3 linked regions of the Drosophila melanogaster genome follow. The gene in region 1 interacts genetically with each later gene. Each region holds a gene or a part of one and is shown in the gene's direction. Other genes may lie near its edges.

Region 1 (5,340 bases):
CTTCATAATTCATTATAATTCATGGTATGCAGAGAACAAAAGGAATTGGGCAACGCAGAGCCAGCTCCATCCGTGAGCTCCACCACAGTTTCGTCACCACCGGCCGGTGTGAAATCTCCGCCGCGAGACTACACCGAAACCCGCATCCAGGTGCGCCTGCAGGATGGCTCAACACTACAGGAAACCTTCAACGTCAAGGAGCAGCTGTCCGCCGTACGTGTGTTCATCCAGATGAAGACCGGCATCGAGTCGCCCTTCTCTCTGATGACCACCTTTCCGCGCAAGCTGTTCGCCGAGGACGACTACGAGAAGCCGCTGGAAGTGCTCGGCTTGGTTCCATCCGCTGTCATCACCATGACCAAGACGCCCGCATAAATCTTTCCTACAAACTGGATATATTTGAATCCGGGTAATCTCTCCCATAAACTAGAACCTAAATACGAAAAAAACGCGGCGCGAAATATACCCCCCCCCCCCCAAAAAAAAAAAAAAAAAACAAGAAAAACAATTAATGTACGGTTTTATATATATATTAAACACAACAATCTCAAATACAAGTAAAGTTTTAGAGGATCTTTGAGGGCAATTATTAAATTTCTATTGAAAAGCGATGCTAACTTTCCAATAAACTTTTTTCCTTAAATTACAATAGGATTCAATTTCTATGGCTAATGATTGGTCCTGTAGTTCCTACATGAAGGGCTTCACAAAGTTCTTGATCTTCTTAACGCTTCGCTCGGCGGGTCGAATGTTGAGGTGCTGCCCGAATATGGTGAACTCCATGTTGCCCACTTTCATACCAAAGACGCACTCGCTCTTGGGTATTGTGCGCAGCCGATGGTCCTTGCCGAGCAGTTTCAGCACGTTCTTGGTGTCCATGACGCAGATGCCAGCCAAATTTTCCAGGGTGGAGCACTTGGACTGCAGCACCTTCATCTTGGCACCGTGCAAGTCCAGTTTCACCAACTTGCGGCTGAACTCGTCGTAGCGAGCATCGTGCACCTGGGGCACCTCGTCACCTTCCCTCAGCTCCAGATGCTCGCGTACATAGCCCTTCCACAGGTGGTGCAGTGGCAGTGCCTCCTCGTACTTCATCTGCTTGGTGGGAAGAGTGTTCAAACCAAGTGCCGCATATTCCCGGCGACTCAGCGTACTGGATTTGTGGGCGCGACGTTTTCGGGAGTGCTGCTTCTTGATCTTGGTGCCCTCCAGCATTGTGATGTGATCCGGATTGATGTTAACATTGCAACGCTGGTGCGGAATCACCAGATCTGAGATAAATTCCCTCAATTCACTTGTCGCGTGTTCCATTGCGTTGTTATTTAGTTTTATTTATTTGGTGATCAACAATATATCGATAGGCGCGGAACTCTATCGATGGAAGAAAAGGCGATATATTAATATTATTTTTTCAGATGCATAGCTGCATGTGCACTTCGTATAATACAAGCTAAATAATAATTATTGCTATTAATTATTAGAAACTGTATGTACCTGCAATTTTTCATATTCAACGCTGCAATTTAAAAATAACGTACATTCGGGGCAATCTGGCGTTGCCATCCTGCTTTTGCATTTGAAATGTCATAAAATACAAAAAATACCAACGAAATAGAGATGGAAATAGATATAGTGCGGGCACTCTAAAAACATCGATAGCCAAACCTTGAATTAATATACGAGTGGAAAACATCGGACCTATCGATGTTTCTATCGGTGGCCGACCACCTCTAGCAACGCCGAACATATGTTTCAAGTCTCTCTCAACTTTCGAACGGAGCGGAACGTCGAGCGCACGAATTCGGAATTATCGTTGAAACAAACGTCGCCGCGTGTGATCGAAAATCCAAGTTAGGCTCATTCGTTGGGAAGCTGCGAGGTAATCAAACGCCAACCGACGACCAACATCCGCCCGCCCCCCTTTTAGCCACGCCCCGCGGCCCGTGTGATAACAAAGATAATGCAATAAAGGGCAACCGTAGAAAAAAAGCTGTGAGAGAGCCAAGAAACGTGACCCAGGCAAAATTTTGTTTGTTTGTCTGGCTCTGCATATACATGTACATAGTTTAAACGTGCGTGCGATTGTGTATGCGCGTGTGTGTGAGCAGCCGTCGCGTTAGTAGTAGTAACACGCCAAACAACAAAAAATTCATCTCGCGTTATTTACAATAATAATTAAACAAAATTACAAAATTGTTTCCGTCTCGCCCGCTAGTTCACTCTCTCTCACACACACACGCACGAATATTACCCCCGGCGCGTTTTACTTCCATCTCGCTCCCACAAAGGCGGAAGAGTTAAACACAAAAAAAAAAGAAAAATAGAAAAGAAATTATAAACGAAAAACTGCCACCGCCGCTGCTCAATAATTTGTGCATTTTTTAAGGTAATTTAAAGTGAAATGGAATGTCTTGTTTGCATAGGTTAGGTTTAATTAGTCCGGAAAGCTAAGCGAAACCCTGGGAAATATTACATATCCCCGGGCGAATTTCTTTTGTCCCGTTACTTTTCGATTTTCATGCGAGCGTTTTTTGATTGCGTTCATTTTCTGGCGACTTGGGGGTGCTCGCCATTGTTTGGTTTTCAACATTTGTAAATTTGCATGAAAAGTCGGATTTTAAGTGATTTTTGTGTCTTTTGAGCGGCTTTTTGCGCAGGCAGCGCAGTCCGAAAATCACTCAGAATCGCACTCACATGCGCACACACTTACAATTGTAATACACGGACGCGCCCCGGTCGCGACAGCTAACGGCACTTTTCATGTCCTCTCGCGCGCTCTCTCTCACTGTTCTCCTCTCTTCTTTCTTTTTGATTCCTGTGCAGCATCATTTGCCACCAAAAATTCGAAAAGCAAACAAAAGTAACGACAATTAAAGTACAGTGAATAATACCAAAACCGGATTAAATTAAATCTAGCTTTTACAGAATATACAAAATATTGAGCCTAGTGGTAACTAGTAACTAGTGGTCGAATAGGAAATCAATTCTCAATAGTTTTCTTGCGTACTGTGAAAATAAATCAAGATTGTAAATTCTGTTAGCAACGTTTAAATTATTCACAATTCAACTGTCTACAAATGATTATTTATCCACTTCACTCCGCAGTTTCATCACAATGTCCTCAAATCTAATTTAAATAAGTAAGAAGTGTAACAAGCGACACGCAGCGAAACAAATAGCGCTGAATAGAGGAGCACGCCAAGGCAAACAGCAACAAATGGCCAACAATTGAATGGCGGCCATCAGTTGGCCCCAGCGGCATCCATTGAGCAATCAACACCATTTCTCCCACATCAAATCAAGCACCACTTCCAGCAACACCATCACCTCAACCACCTCAGTCACCACCGCCGTCACAGCTTTGGGAATCAGAACCACAGTCCAAGACCCAGTCGAAACCACCACCACCACCAGTAAAAGCCACAGCCTAGCAGGACCACAACCACTGAGCTCCATCGCCAACAAATACCAGAACCGGGTGCAGCTGCTCGAATTATTTGGAAAACTTGCCGCGTAGTCCATCAATGAGCGTTTCGATGTCACTGGTACAGGGTGGTGCTGCCGGTGGTGCGCCACAGGGCGCCAGCGCAATCTTGGCCGCAGCGGCTCCCTACTATCAACCGCCGGCTGTTCCCCAGGATGTTCAGCCGGATCGTCCTATCGGCTATGGAGCATTCGGAGTTGTCTGGTAAGTATAATGATTCTATATCTCAGTGCAATAATCCAGATTATGGGCGAAGGGTGTTGCCATAGTATTGGTACAATCAAATTTTTTCTTGGTTTAGCAAGCATGGTTATTTTCGGGTTGTTTTGCTGGTTGTCCAAAGACATCCCGCCGAAATGGGCAATTATATTTGAGAATTATAAGACAATAGGTGGTATAGAATGCAGAAAAGGGTGTATTAACGTCATATCCTATTATATGCTTGTGCCCCTTAAAGAATTCATGTAATGATAATTTGTAAATGATTTCATTATAAACACATTCGGTTAAAAAGTTGTAAGACCGACTTCGAATCCAAATGTTAATACCCTCCTGTCAATGTACTTTTATAATTCAAATATCTAAAGATTAAACAGTTGTTCTTTGACTTGAAAAAGTCTTTGTTCTATTCGAAGAAAGGGTATCTGCAGCGTCGTTACTTTGCTGTGCGATTTTATGTCACGGTCTCGCCGTGGGTTCAGCAACCTTCTGCTTAGGCCTTTGATTCTGTAACCCTTTTGATTGTGTTGCTGCTGTTGATGTTGATGTTTTGTGCAGCGGGCAACGTCAACATCCTCGTACTCATTTCGATTCAGAACCTCAGTCCCGGGTCTCAGCTAGCTGTCCTTCATGGTTTTGTGCCTTTGTGCAGTTTTCAACGTTGCTGCGGCCCCCCGAGGGTGGATTTTTCCTATAATATATTTCTTACCCTAAGCGCGCTGGCTGGCTGACTGGCTGGCTCTCCGTGTTTTGGCCTCCCTCCCCCCCCCTCAATTTGGACTTTTCTATTTGCCCATCTCCTCGTTTATCGGCCTCTCTCTGCTTTTTTTTTTCTATCCCCTCGACTCTTTTGATTTACATTTGTGTGCAAAATTTTACATTAATGGTTGCTTAAATGGGGTGAGCATTGAATATTTGTTTGTTTACTGGGTAAAGTAAAATATCTAATATGGATTAGCAACATTTTGTTATCAATGTAACCGAAAAGCTGCAAATCTATCAAGCAAATGATTTTAACATAGCACAAAAAAAGGTGGCAATATGAAATCATCATATCTATTTATTATTTAACTCGACTTCCTATCAATTTATTCGTAGTGTAGCCAGAAGTTTGGCAACGCTGCATTTACAAATTTCATTCACGTGTAAAACGGCATTTCCGGCTATAATCAAAACGCAAAGTGAGCCCAGTTTATCGGGCGGGTCTTTTGAGGAGTGCTGCCGGTGGGGGAGTGGTCGTCGTTGGTCGTCCGCAGGGAAGCCAGTTAAAAACTGGCACACAAGGGGCCCCGATGGTTTAGGCACAAGGAAGTGGAAGTCCGAAGACGAGCCACAAGTGGAGGAGCCCAGTGAAATACACAAAGCGTGGCGGGGCTAGTGGAAACTATGGGAGGCTAGAAGAGGCCCAAGAAGAGGCCCAAGTATATCCCTCGATACACCGCCTTCCCTTTGGCCAACTGAAAGTGGAGCCCGCGAAATGAAGTCGTTGACGTTCGGATTGGCTTCACACAGCAGTCTTTAGTAGCAACGGGTCTACCAGTTGCTAACTTGCAATAATATTCATTTACTTTCAAAGTTACACCATTGTAAGCCATTGCCCCAAGTCTAAAAAGCTGCATACTATGCTATTATTAATC
Region 2 (5,236 bases), on another chromosome or scaffold:
AGTGGGAGTTGGCGGCATGGCAGTGGGAGCAGGAGCAGGAGCAGGAGCAACCGGACCTGGCGGACAGCCGAAGGTTACGACGGCCGCCTAGAATTGGTTGTGCTCGCTGCTGTTCCGGCTGATGGAATGGGTGTGCGTGCCGATTGTCTGAGAACCAACATGATTCACTAGTGCTCTATGACCACAACCTAAAAGGGGAACAAACCGACGAGGCAAGCAAGCAACTGGCAGCGTGCAACATGCCACGTGCAACGTGCAACATGTCACGTGCAACGTGGGTTTGAAATCGATTCGAAGCGGCGTAGTCAGTCTTTCAAACAATCTTAGCTCTATCTTTACTCAAGTATTCTAGCGACATAAGCAACTGAAACTTTAACTCTAACTCTAGCTGTAACTCTAATCTACAGAGTAGCCATATACACGATATATATATATACCTAATATATATATATATATACATATATTTACTATTTATAGATGTACGAACTTCGAGAAAGTGCTATTTAAACTCGTCTAAGACTTCACTGCATAGCCTATGCCTAGAATCTATAACTGCAGATTGTTTCATATTCATATACACACTGTATACTGTATACACATAGATATATTTACGATCGTTATAGATCAGCGATACCTTATACGATGTAGCCCTTGAATGTACAACATAGTTACTTACTAAATGTTAGCAATTTTACCAACTAAAACTCGAGATGTATTTATTAACGCCTAAACTCTTTAGTATTCCACCCTACCCAAAGGAACCTATATAAGAAGCCCCCCAAATTCTCATATATCTAACCATGGATACCTATTAAAAAACTATATGTTATAGCGTGTGTATATATAGGACAAGCGTACAATAATCGCAAACCCAAGGAGCAAAGTAGTACTAAGTACCTGCAAATCAAACAGAAAAACATAAACCGAAACTGAAACAGAACACGAAACACGAAAAGTATCTCTGCAGCGGATATTACATAGTCAATAGTAAATGTTAACAATGTTATACTATATATACATAGATCTATATATATATATAAATATATATATATATATATATACATATAAAAGAAACCAATGAAAAAACCTTAAATGTACCTTGTTATCTGTTGTTTATTATTTGGAAAGCAAATCTTCGTTTCTTGCCGTCTTTAGTTGAAAGCTTTCTGTGGCATATTTCTTTGTTCTTCCTTAACGAATTCTTCTATCATTTATCAGTTTTAATACTTCATTTCTTTTCTCCTTTGGCCTCGTTGCAAAACTGAATTCGAAATAAATGCTCTTGACCAAAAAATCTCATCAAGTTCCTCTCATTTGAAATCATCAAAACCTCATCGTCTTCTCCTTTCATTTTCTTATTTATGAGCGCGTTGGAATTCTTCTCACAGCTGGAAAATATATCAAAAAAGAACATACTACGCCTATGTAATGAGTCCAATGAATCTGCCAAAGGTCTCGATAAGAAACCGCATCATCTGCAAATTATCCATTTCTGGACTCAGCTTGAAGTACTGAGTAATCTTCGGTTTTCTCTTTCCCGGGATATCCCTGTCCACATTTGTAATGAGATGTTTTAAGTAATGCGGAATACTCTGAAGACCAAAGGGAATATTTTCGTTTTGCAGCAGGAACTCTTCGGTTTTCATAGTAACAGAATTATTTGGCACTGCCATTTTCACACTTATTTCGTTGGGAATAGCTGTTCCGAGTGTGATTCCTAAGCCGGCAGGGAAAATTCATTAGTAGAATTTATTTTATACATATGTTAATTGCTTACCCAAGAAAAAGTGCAGAATAAAAATCACTATTGAGTTCATTTTCAGACCTAATTATTTCTGTTACAATGTTCTGATTTTGGGTTGAGTTGTGACGCAAAGTATACTATTTGAAAACTTTACTTCGACGCTTAATTCGAACAATAGATTATTATAGATTCAAAGTTTATTTAAATTGAAATCTTTAAATCCCGTTATGTTACATTTTTGAATTGCGCGCCCAAATCTTCCACGAACGCGTTAGCACATAACTCAATTTGAGCCGCTTGTGAGCAACAGCTGATCCACTGCTCTTCTTCTTACACTCCAGACAATCGCAGCACGAAATCCAGCGATGTGGCAACACCGCCGGCCAGGTGGCAATTCTGCTGCGCAGTGTGCACACACTGGCAGCCACTGCTGGTTGGCTCTTCTTCTTGCAACTGCTGCAATTATATATCGCTGTTCCGTCGTCTCCGCCGATCCAACTCCGCGCAAAAAACCGCACATATATCGCTCAACGGTCCGCGAATAATCCGTAAATATTGCAATTGCACGGTGGGCACAAAAAACACGACAAAATAAAAGGCCCAACACAAAACAAACGGAAACTCACACGGACACACGCACACACACGCAGGCGAGCAGCTGACGCCGGCAGAGGCAGTGCAGCAGCAGCGACAGCGGCAGAGCAGCGACGGCAGCAACAAGCAACAAAAGCAAAAGGCAAACAATTGGATAAGCGCTATTAAGGTGTTAAAAAGGCAGCCAACTTAACAGTCCAAGAGTTCAGCTTGAAAAGCTAACGGTTCCAAGGTCGCAGCGCGAAAAAATCGAAAAAAAACACTCGCTTTTTAGCCGTCTTGTTGTTGTTTTGGCTGCTGCAACAGTTGCAGCCTATGCGTATGTGTGTGTGTGTGTGTTGTGTGGAATTGTGCGATCGCCATCGTCCGTTTCTCTCGCACTTGCTGCTAATAGTCGCCGGTGAAATGGTGTCGCCTTTCGCAGCCGACGTCGACGTCGCTGCCGACGACGGCGCAGAGACCACCACTGTGGCAATGAAACGCAATTTGTTGTTCTTGTTTCTGTAAAAATGTTTACAATGCGATCAAAATGCACTGGCAGAAATTAAGAGTGATAAGCATCAAATTTAGCCCATTAAAATTTGAAATTGTTAAAAGCGATGTGATAAAGTTTATAAACACAACTATAAGTTTGAAACACATAAGAATAAAATAAAATCTAACTTGCGCGAAATTCATTTTCTTATTTTAAACCTGTAATAGTGACCGAAAATTTTGAAATTCTTTCTAGATTGTTCAGCCACAACTGAAACATAAAATCGAAACCCTATTTTTACCAGCTTAACATGGGTAAAGTGAAACTTATAAGAAAACCATGAAGAATACCGTGAATGCTCAATTCAAAATTTGAAAATCCACTAGTGCTCTTAATAGCTTCAAAAGCAAGTGAAGAAATTTAGAATAAAGAGTGTGATAACCGAAAGAAACACCGAGAAACGCCGAGGAAAGTCTAGACAAGTGCCTGAAACCAAATGTGTTTGCCCCGAAGTTAAGTCCCTTCGATCCGCCCAAATCGGCTTTAATTCCCGTAAATCCCCTCTTCCGCCCAATAATTCCGCCACAAAAACAGGCACATGAGTTGGATTAATCGGAGTCAACTGGAATAGGCCGAAGCACCCGGAGCACAGGTCAGTATCGGAACAATCAGGCCATATCGACTGACATCAATCAGTTAAAACATTCAAATACCGTTTGCTCAATTGGACGGTTCGCCTTGAATCGGTTGAAACCGGTTGCCGATTACCGGTTCGCTTTAAAATTCAATTAATTTAAATCAATTCAGACCAGACAGTTTGGTTTCGTGTGGTTTCCATCACAAATATCCGCCGCGACCTAACTATTTCTAAAAAAATGCAATAAAAGATTGCACAATTCCTAGCAATCGAGGAATTTCAAGTGCTGTACAGCAAATCTGAATGATACTGATATTGACGCTTTTTAAGTGAAGGCATGACGAAAGTAAGACGTTTTTTACGGCATTTACAAAATGCTACTCAAAATATTAGGTTTTGATACGGAAAATCTCAATAGAATCTACCTTACATCATATGTAGATAAAATTTAAAAGTCTTTAATAATTTATGAGATTTTAAATACAAATGCTGAAGTTTGCCATCGAACGTAATTGCAGAATCCTAAGATATTATCATTGACAACTTATTGGGCTGCAAAGATAATATATAAAATATATATTCAATTATTATATTTGTCCAACTGATGGAATTAAATAATCATTAAAATGGTAATTTAATGAGGCGCTTTTGCAGAAAACAAAAGCAAACCGCATGGCGAATAAAACAAAAATCGAAATAAAAGCGATGATTTATGCAATATTCAAATATGCATTTCGCACAGGCACTCACACACACACACACACACACACATACATACAGATAGCATTTGGCTTGAACTTTAAAGAGCGACTACGGTTATTAATTTAACCTTTTTATTTGGCTTCACTTGGTTTAATTTGTGTCCAGCAGGTCCCAAAAACCTGAATGCGCTGATGGCCAGCTCCGCAAATCCCTGAGCCCCTCTTAGCTGTCCGGTTTTTTTTATTTTTTTATTTTTTGGGCGCCCTTAATGGAAAAAATGTTGAGCGGTCTTTTTGCGATTCTCCTCTCGGCTTAATCCCATTTTTGAATACCCTAGCAATAGGGCTTATAACTTCGTTAAAATGGTGAAATACTCTAAATAAAAACATAAAACATATATGAACTTATTTGATTTCAAACTCCAAATGTTGCATGCTTTTAAGCATTTTAAAACCATTCGGTTTTTTGATCTCCATAAGATGTTCCTTATTCCTTGTATATTTCGATTCATCGCACATCCATAGATGATTGATACTGTGCGTATCCGATAGGGTATTCTTAATTCCGATTCGTACATATACCATTTTATACTCGTTCCCCATTGTTTTTGCGTCTGTTTACGTTGAACTGGGGGCCACTGAAATGGAATCGAGGAGAAGGGTGCCCAAAAGGAAAACGACGTCCTGCCATAAAATTGCATGTCCAAGTTGTTTTATTTGATTATGCGATCGTGTGTGTGTGTGTGTGTGTGTGTGTGTGTGTGTGTGGATTTTTGTTGCTGTGCTCGTTTTTTTTTTTTTTTTTGCTGCAAGAGTTTATTGCGCGGAATGCTATTTAATAAATTCCATTTTCTCTGTCATTTTGCCGTGTTTTTGTTTTTGCATCTCGGGCAGGATTTATGTTCTTGCTTTTGTTAGCGCTGTTTCCGCTTTCCATCTTGTTTGTTTGCCCGATGCAAATTTAAAAAATTCAATTTCCCTGGTAACTCCAATTGCGTCAAAGGCCAGCCAAAAGTTGCGGAAATGTGAATTATGTGCATCCGTTGCAATATGCACAGCGTGCTTCTTGGCTCGCTGCGATTTCA
Region 3 (6,812 bases), 8.0 Mb from region 1:
TTAAGTCTATATATTTCTGAGAATAAATTGACCAGATTAAATATTAAAGGCCATGTTTTTGTATTGCTTTTTTTATACCCCTTACTCATATATTTAAAGGGGTACACTATATTCGTTGAAGAGTATGTAACAAACAGTATGAAATGTCTCCGACTATATAAAGTATATATATTTTTGATCATAATCAAAAGCCGAGGCGATCTAGCCATGTCCGTCTGTTCGTATGAACGTCGAGATCTCAAGAACTATAAAATCAAGAAGGTTGAGATTAAGCAGCATATAGATTCTAGAGACAAGGACGCAGTGCAAGTTTGGTGACCCATGTTGTCACGCCCATTCTAACGTCCACAAACCGCACAAAACTGCCATGCCCACATTTTTAAACCATTTTTCCTATTTTTTTCACATTTTATTAACTTTGTAAATTTCTATCACTCTTCAAAAAAAAATTTGCCATGCCCACATTTTTTAACCATTCTTCGATATTTTTTCAAAATTTAATAAATAACAGCCCAAAACAGCTACGCCCACATTTTTGAACCATTTTTCAATATTTTAATATAATTTTAGTAGTCGTGTAGATTTCTATCGACTTGCCAAAAAACTTTTTTCCACGCCCACTCTAGCGCCCTAAAGCAGCCGAACCGGTTACGCCCACACTTTCTAACAATCGTTAAATTTTTTCTTATTTTATTGCCAGTATCTTTCGATATCCCAGAAAAATGATGAAATTTCGTTCACACGAACGGGTTTCTGATATTTGGGGAACTCGAATATAGCATTTTTATGTTGTTTCTTCTCGTAAATCTGTGGAAACAAATCGATTCCTTTTCCTATTTTATAATATAAAAAACTTGTACGCTAATCTTGGTACATTTTAACTGCGGTTACAGATCATGAATAGACTATATCAAAAATTACTTGCAAAAAATCGAACAAAATAAACTATGCTTATATTATAAACTTTAACCTTTTCCGTAACAATGCAACCGTTCCCAAAATCTTTATTTTTAACAAATAGAAAATTTTGAATATAAATAAATTTTTCGTATTATGAACTAAATTTTGTATTTAGGTACATATATGTATTAGGGTATTAGCTAATATATTTTTGTTTTTTTTTTTTTTTAATTAAGTTGTGAATATCTATTGAAATGTCTGAAGCAATTCCGCTCCTACCAATACTTTTATAAAAAAGTTCAATATTTTTTTAAATTTCCTGCCATTTCTATTCTATTGAAATTTTTCTATCTTACTCCCACCAGACGTGTAACATATTTTAATTGCTTGAAGATTGACTTTCGCTCACATCCACAGGGAAAACAAGAGAGAATGCAGTAGTCGAGCTCCTGACTCCAGGTACCAGTTAATCAGTTAGAAGCGTAAAAGAGAAATTTAAATATTTTTTAGGAATATTGGTAGAAATGGGGAAAAAATAATACAATAAAAATTAATTTAAATATTGTTCAAAAGTGTGGGCATAACAGTTTTGTGTGGTTTGTGTGCGTCTGAGTGGGCCTGCCCAAACAATTTTTGGCTAGCCGATAGAAGTTTGCAAGACTAAAAAAATATATAAAAAAATATCAAAACATTTTTCAAAAGACGGGTTCCTAAGATCTAATCTTTATACCGACAGACGGACGAACATGGCCAGATCGACTCGACAATTGATCCTGATCAGAAATATATATACTTTATAAGTTCGGAAACGCTTCCTTCTACCAGTTACATACATTTCATTGACACTAGTATAACCCTTTACGCTAGGAGTGCGTATAACAAAGTTACCATATCTGGTTTGTGTAAAAATACTGATGACAGACCGTTCGTCAAGAAATACTGACAGTTATTGTATAATTAGGTTAATTTAAAAATTAATTGAATTTTAGGACGGCTTATATTTGAAATATACTACAAAAACATAAAACTTGGTAAATTTATGAACGGTCTGCTTTCGGAATTTCAGCAGAATCGGTTGGCAAGCAATTCACAACGAAGAGCTATCAGAGCAAACCGAAAACACAAATCAACAATGTTGCAGCAAGAGTTAATACGTTGGTGTAAGTTTACAAATCAGTATTCATTAAATCTAGATAGCTCTTTGCGCTAAGAGTGCGTAAAACAAACAGTTACCATATCTGGGTTGTGTAAAAATACTGAGGACAGACCGTTCGTCAAGAAATACTGACAGTTGTATAATTAGGTTTATTGAAAATTATCGAATTATCGGACGGCTGATATTTGACATATACTAAAAACATAAAATTTGGTATATTTATGAACGGTCTGCTGTCGGTATTTCATCAGAATCGGTTGGCAAGCAATTCACAACAAAGAGCCATCAGAGTTAACCGAAAACACAAGCCTTTTATGCAGCAAGAGTTAATACGTTGGTGTAAGTGTACAAATCAGTAGGGACCACAAATTAACGTTCTTTTACGTATACAATATTTCAGATAAATCCCACAGGTATGGAACACCATAAAGACACCGGTCAATTGCACCACTACGTGCAGTACGGACTTTCCGAAAGTGCACAGATTTTCGGATGCGCAAAAGAGCATCACATCTTGAAGACGCTCTGAGGAAAACTGCTCCAAATCTAGTCCACCAGCATTAAACTACCGGTGGCTTCAATCTGGTTTAGGAAGAAGACCACAATAAAGTGATCAAAGATAATCAGGTCTTCACCAATTTAAAGTCTACTACTTCAACGAATGAGATAGTCGTCCTGCAGGCAAGGAGTCATACCAGTTGGCCGAGCAATATCAACAGCAGCAGATGGAATCGCGTGATGAATCTAGTATCTCCGTCAGGAAGACGGGCACGTGTACAGCGAGGACAACAGTGATTTTGGAGTGGAACAGGTGGAAAACCAATCCCAGTTGAAAACCAATCCCAGTTCGATCCCAATGTTGTGGCCTTTGTGCCTAGCTTTGACGCACAGAAATCCTCTCCCCCGCAGCCTGTTGCGGAAGTTTATCTACTTGGTGTTCAGCCCCGCTAACTTTTACCGCATGGCACCCTTGACGACCTTGTTGTGGAAAGTCTGCGTAAAGAATTTCAAAATTTCTGGAAGGGGAAACCTGTAGATGCAGCTGAGCTGTTAAATGATTTACAAACAAGCCGACATCTCGGGAACCATTAAAGAGACATTTAAAGTCAAAAAGTGGCCAACTGAAACCCGTTAAAATCCGCTTGCGACCGCAACTTGGCCCGACTAAGGCAAAAAATAACATAATCCTGTCAAGTCATGCAGACAGGGCGATTTACATTATAATTTTAAATGGCAATGGATTAGTCATCATCAGTACCTGCTTATCTGGTTTTCCTGATTTTTAAATCAAATCTGTGACTGTATCTCTTACCTTTCCTCTTGTACCTCGTTATTATAAAATGCGAAAACCCTCTGCCAAAGGACACTATAAAACGAATTTTTTAAAAGACGCCAAACAAAATGGCACTTTTTGTTGAGAAGAAAATATGCCGATAAGAACGTTTTACTTGTAAGACGCTGCAGAAAGATTAGGAACGAAAACTATCGACAATGTTTACTTGTATAATCTGAGCTTTCTAAAACACAAAAATAGTGTACTTTTACCATACGCTTAATTTCGAAATTAATCCGGGATATACAGTTGGGGATCCAGATTTTAAATTCGTGAACACAGCTGCTGGAGTAGGGCATTTCCTGATCGATCTGTTAGTTTTCGGACTTTTACTTTGGTTGTTGTAAACAATATCCGCAAGTTTCTCGCAAAGTGGGTTGCGTTGTGCCGTGCCTCAGTAGAGCACTACACACTACCTTCGATTGAGTTCGCTGGGATTTGGATTTCGTTCACAGTCCAAGTTTGGACCGTGCTAGGAGAAGATAATGATCCGATCACTCAATTAACTTCATGCACCCAGTGACGTCATCAGTGCTTTACTATTCGGTGTCTATATAGTCTATTTTGTTTAATTTCTTACACCCTACATTTCGATACGATTCGATTTTCGTTTGGAAATTGTCTGAAGGTAAACAAGCATAAATTGGACGTTCAAGCGTAAACAAATCGGTTTTCGGAGCAAAATACAAAAATCGTCAGTTGAGAAAGTCTCTCAAATGGCGCAGTTCTGCATTCTTGGAGTCCTCCTCATTCTTTCTGGAACACACTGCTCGTGGGGATTCCATGAAGAGACACATTATCCGTGTGCCTTTATCGATACGGCAAACATAACGGGGAGCTACGGCTTAGATGGCCCATTTGTGCACAACTGGACGGTGATTCCCCGTCACTTCGTAGCCGTGTACGACTTTGTCATCGAAAATGGCATCCGCATCCCCGCAAGCAGGCATCTCAGAGCCTGTGTCTGTAAGACCAAACCCTGTGTACGGATTTGCTGTTTACGGGGAGAAATCTACGACCTGGAGAAGAGGCAGTGCTTAGTCCCTGTGGCCGGGGTGTCCAGCCTTCCCTCCCATAGCCATATGGAGGTGGAGTTGGGCAACGGCAGTCTGCGTCTAGTGAAACTGCAACCCCGTTTTAGCATCCACGTGGAAACACCATGTGAGCACATGAAAGCCGTAACCAAGGGCTCGGAATACGTTCACTGGACACTTCATGAGGTCGGTTGTGAAATAAACCTTCCATCACATTAATGGCTTTACATCGCCTTTTCAGAACGGAACCATCAGCCACCGAGGACACATATTTTCTAAGCATTACTGCTTCACTCCGCTGCTCCATGGGAACTCCACCTGGGAGTGGCAGCCATTGGCCTGTGCACCAGAAAAACTATATTTCGTCTTGGGGGTGCGGGAGTGGACATACGCCATATGTAAGTAGCAAGAGGAAACATTTTTCCAGCAACTTTCAGCAATTCATTATCCCAAATATGCACAATACTGTTTTCACAACAATACATAAAAGTAATTGCTAAAGCACCAAAAAACAATCGATGATAGCATTAATAGTTTGATAGTCAGAATTTAATTTACCCAGCGTATTCACTTTCCAGGTCTCTTGATAGCTATTCTATCAATGTTTATCGTGCTGATGGTCTACCTTATGTGTTCGGAAATGCGCAACAGTTTCTACGGTGTGGCCATAAAGGCGTACGCCATTTGTATGATCTTGGGATATGCCCTACTGGCTTATCTCACGCTCCACAACCCAGCAAATCTCTCAAATGCGGCTTGTCGTATTCTACGTAAGTGGTAAATTTGAGTATTCTGTGATATTTAAACATTCCCTTCTTTTTTTTTTTTAGCAAGTTTGGCGTTGATGAACTTGGTGCTTTCCTTTTACATTCTGAGCTTTATTGCATTTAAGCTGTACTTGAGCTTTTATGGCGTTGTCTTCACAAAACTGATGTTTTGGCTAATATTTACTCCCATCGTACTGGTAGCCGTGGGCTGGTCTTTCTTTGTGGGTTTCAGTTATTACGGCTCTAGGCTCATCTTCGGAGGCGATACATGCTGGTTTGATCGTAAGCACTGCCAATCCATATATGTTTTATAATAATTAATTGGTATTCCACATCGCTAGCACGCAATTGGTCCGTTATGATATATTTTTACGCTCCTGTTTTCGTGGCTTGCGCCATTAGCGGTTTCTTCTATGTCCTGAGCCAGATCTACATCCGTGATCAGCCAGATATCGAGACGGAGAAGAGCTTCGAGTCCATAGAGAAGAACCGATTCAAATCATTTTGGAAGTACTTTGGCTACACGGCAGTCGTATGGGTCGTTTGCATATGCTCCTTTGCCTTTAACTACTACTGGGAGAACAGATCCCACCTTAACTACGCTGTAAGCTTCTGCATGGCCTTCCACGGGTTTGCGGCCCTCTATGCGCTGATTGGAAAGAATCAGCAAATCCAAAATTTTCTGCGGCGCATAGATAAGTAAGTTGATAACTATGAATTTTAAGTACTACTGTTAATATATACTGTTGCAGTGGCGAAGATACCTGTGAAAACTCAGTTCCGCTCTCGAGTTTTGGTTAACTTTTCTTGTTGTGCCCACTGTAGCGTTAGTGTAACTGGAAGCAGTTGAGTGTATCGACAATATCTGTGCAATGTTTTTAAAATCACTTATCAGCATAGACAAAAACCATGTATTTTAAATGTAAAATTTTGTAGGATGTGTGTAAAATATATTTGTAAAATTTGAACTCGAACAAAAAAGTACACTTCTACCCTTTAAACGAAATTACGATAATAAAGATACAAAAAATAAATATATCTGAAAAAAAAATCAGGTCTGGAATTTCTACAATTGTTAAATATGATAACAAGTCCCAACAATCCTTTCAGTATAGAACAAAACATGGAATATACTTAAGCCATGTGAAAGAACACATAACATATTAATATTCTAAACAATTTGAGCAGTTTTCTTGAGTTTACGCCTCCAACAATTTATCCTTCACCTTTCTTGAGTTCCAAATTCCTGGACCGTGATCAAGTTTCTCCAGTCTTATTTCAAGTCCCGATTTTACTGTACCCTATCCGCATCGCCAAGCCCGGTGTTACTTCCCCGATCTCTCTATATTATAAATGTGCGCCGATTTTATTTAACATCAGAGGTCAATGGCCGCAAAACAGACAGAGAGAGAGAGAGAGAAAGTTGGTCAGAGCCACGAGAACTGCATCCCGACAGGGGGCTGTCAAGAGCAAGGAATCAAGTGGAATGTTGGTGGTGCTCTTTTGAAAAGGCTTCGCAAACTTTCCCCCTGTACACCCCCTTGCCAAGGCCTAATCGCAGAAAACCCACCCGGGTCGGAGTCCCCAATTCATTTTCATGCCGATTATGCTTCGGGTTTTGG

Evidence for each region. Genes that interact genetically often act in the same process or in processes that back each other up.
Region 2: of nmo (region 1) and px, changing one enhances a phenotype caused by changing the other (phenotypic enhancement), as found in Drosophila melanogaster (one study listed by BioGRID).
Region 3: of nmo (region 1) and mthl8, changing one enhances a phenotype caused by changing the other (phenotypic enhancement), as found in Drosophila melanogaster (one study listed by BioGRID).

What each region holds. Positions count from the first base shown.
Region 1 is NT_037436.4:7,977,295-7,982,634, forward strand, and holds the start of nmo (nemo), read left to right. Parts: upstream 1-1,751; 5' UTR 1,752-1,879; exon of another isoform or gene 1,880-2,215; 5' UTR 2,216-2,386; intron 2,387-3,105; 5' UTR 3,106-3,524; coding exon 3,525-3,688; intron 3,689-5,340. Other genes in the region: CG8209 (uncharacterized protein), read left to right, coding at 33-375; POP4 ribonuclease P/MRP subunit, read right to left, coding at 691-1,311.
Region 2 is NT_033778.4:22,558,975-22,564,210, reverse strand, and holds the start of px (plexus), read left to right. Parts: upstream 1-2,145; 5' UTR 2,146-2,292; exon of another isoform or gene 2,293-2,312; intron 2,313-3,068; 5' UTR 3,069-3,465; intron 3,466-5,236. Other genes in the region: dnr1 (defense repressor 1), read left to right, coding at 1-91; CG11362 (uncharacterized protein), read right to left, coding at 1,422-1,717, 1,778-1,817.
Region 3 is NT_037436.4:20,088-26,899, forward strand, and holds mthl8 (methuselah-like 8), read left to right. Parts: upstream 1-2,340; 5' UTR 2,341-2,395; intron 2,396-2,456; 5' UTR 2,457-4,105; coding exon 4,106-4,609; intron 4,610-4,664; coding exon 4,665-4,821; intron 4,822-5,001; coding exon 5,002-5,193; intron 5,194-5,253; coding exon 5,254-5,472; intron 5,473-5,531; coding exon 5,532-5,889; intron 5,890-5,942; coding exon 5,943-5,991; 3' UTR 5,992-6,221; downstream 6,222-6,812.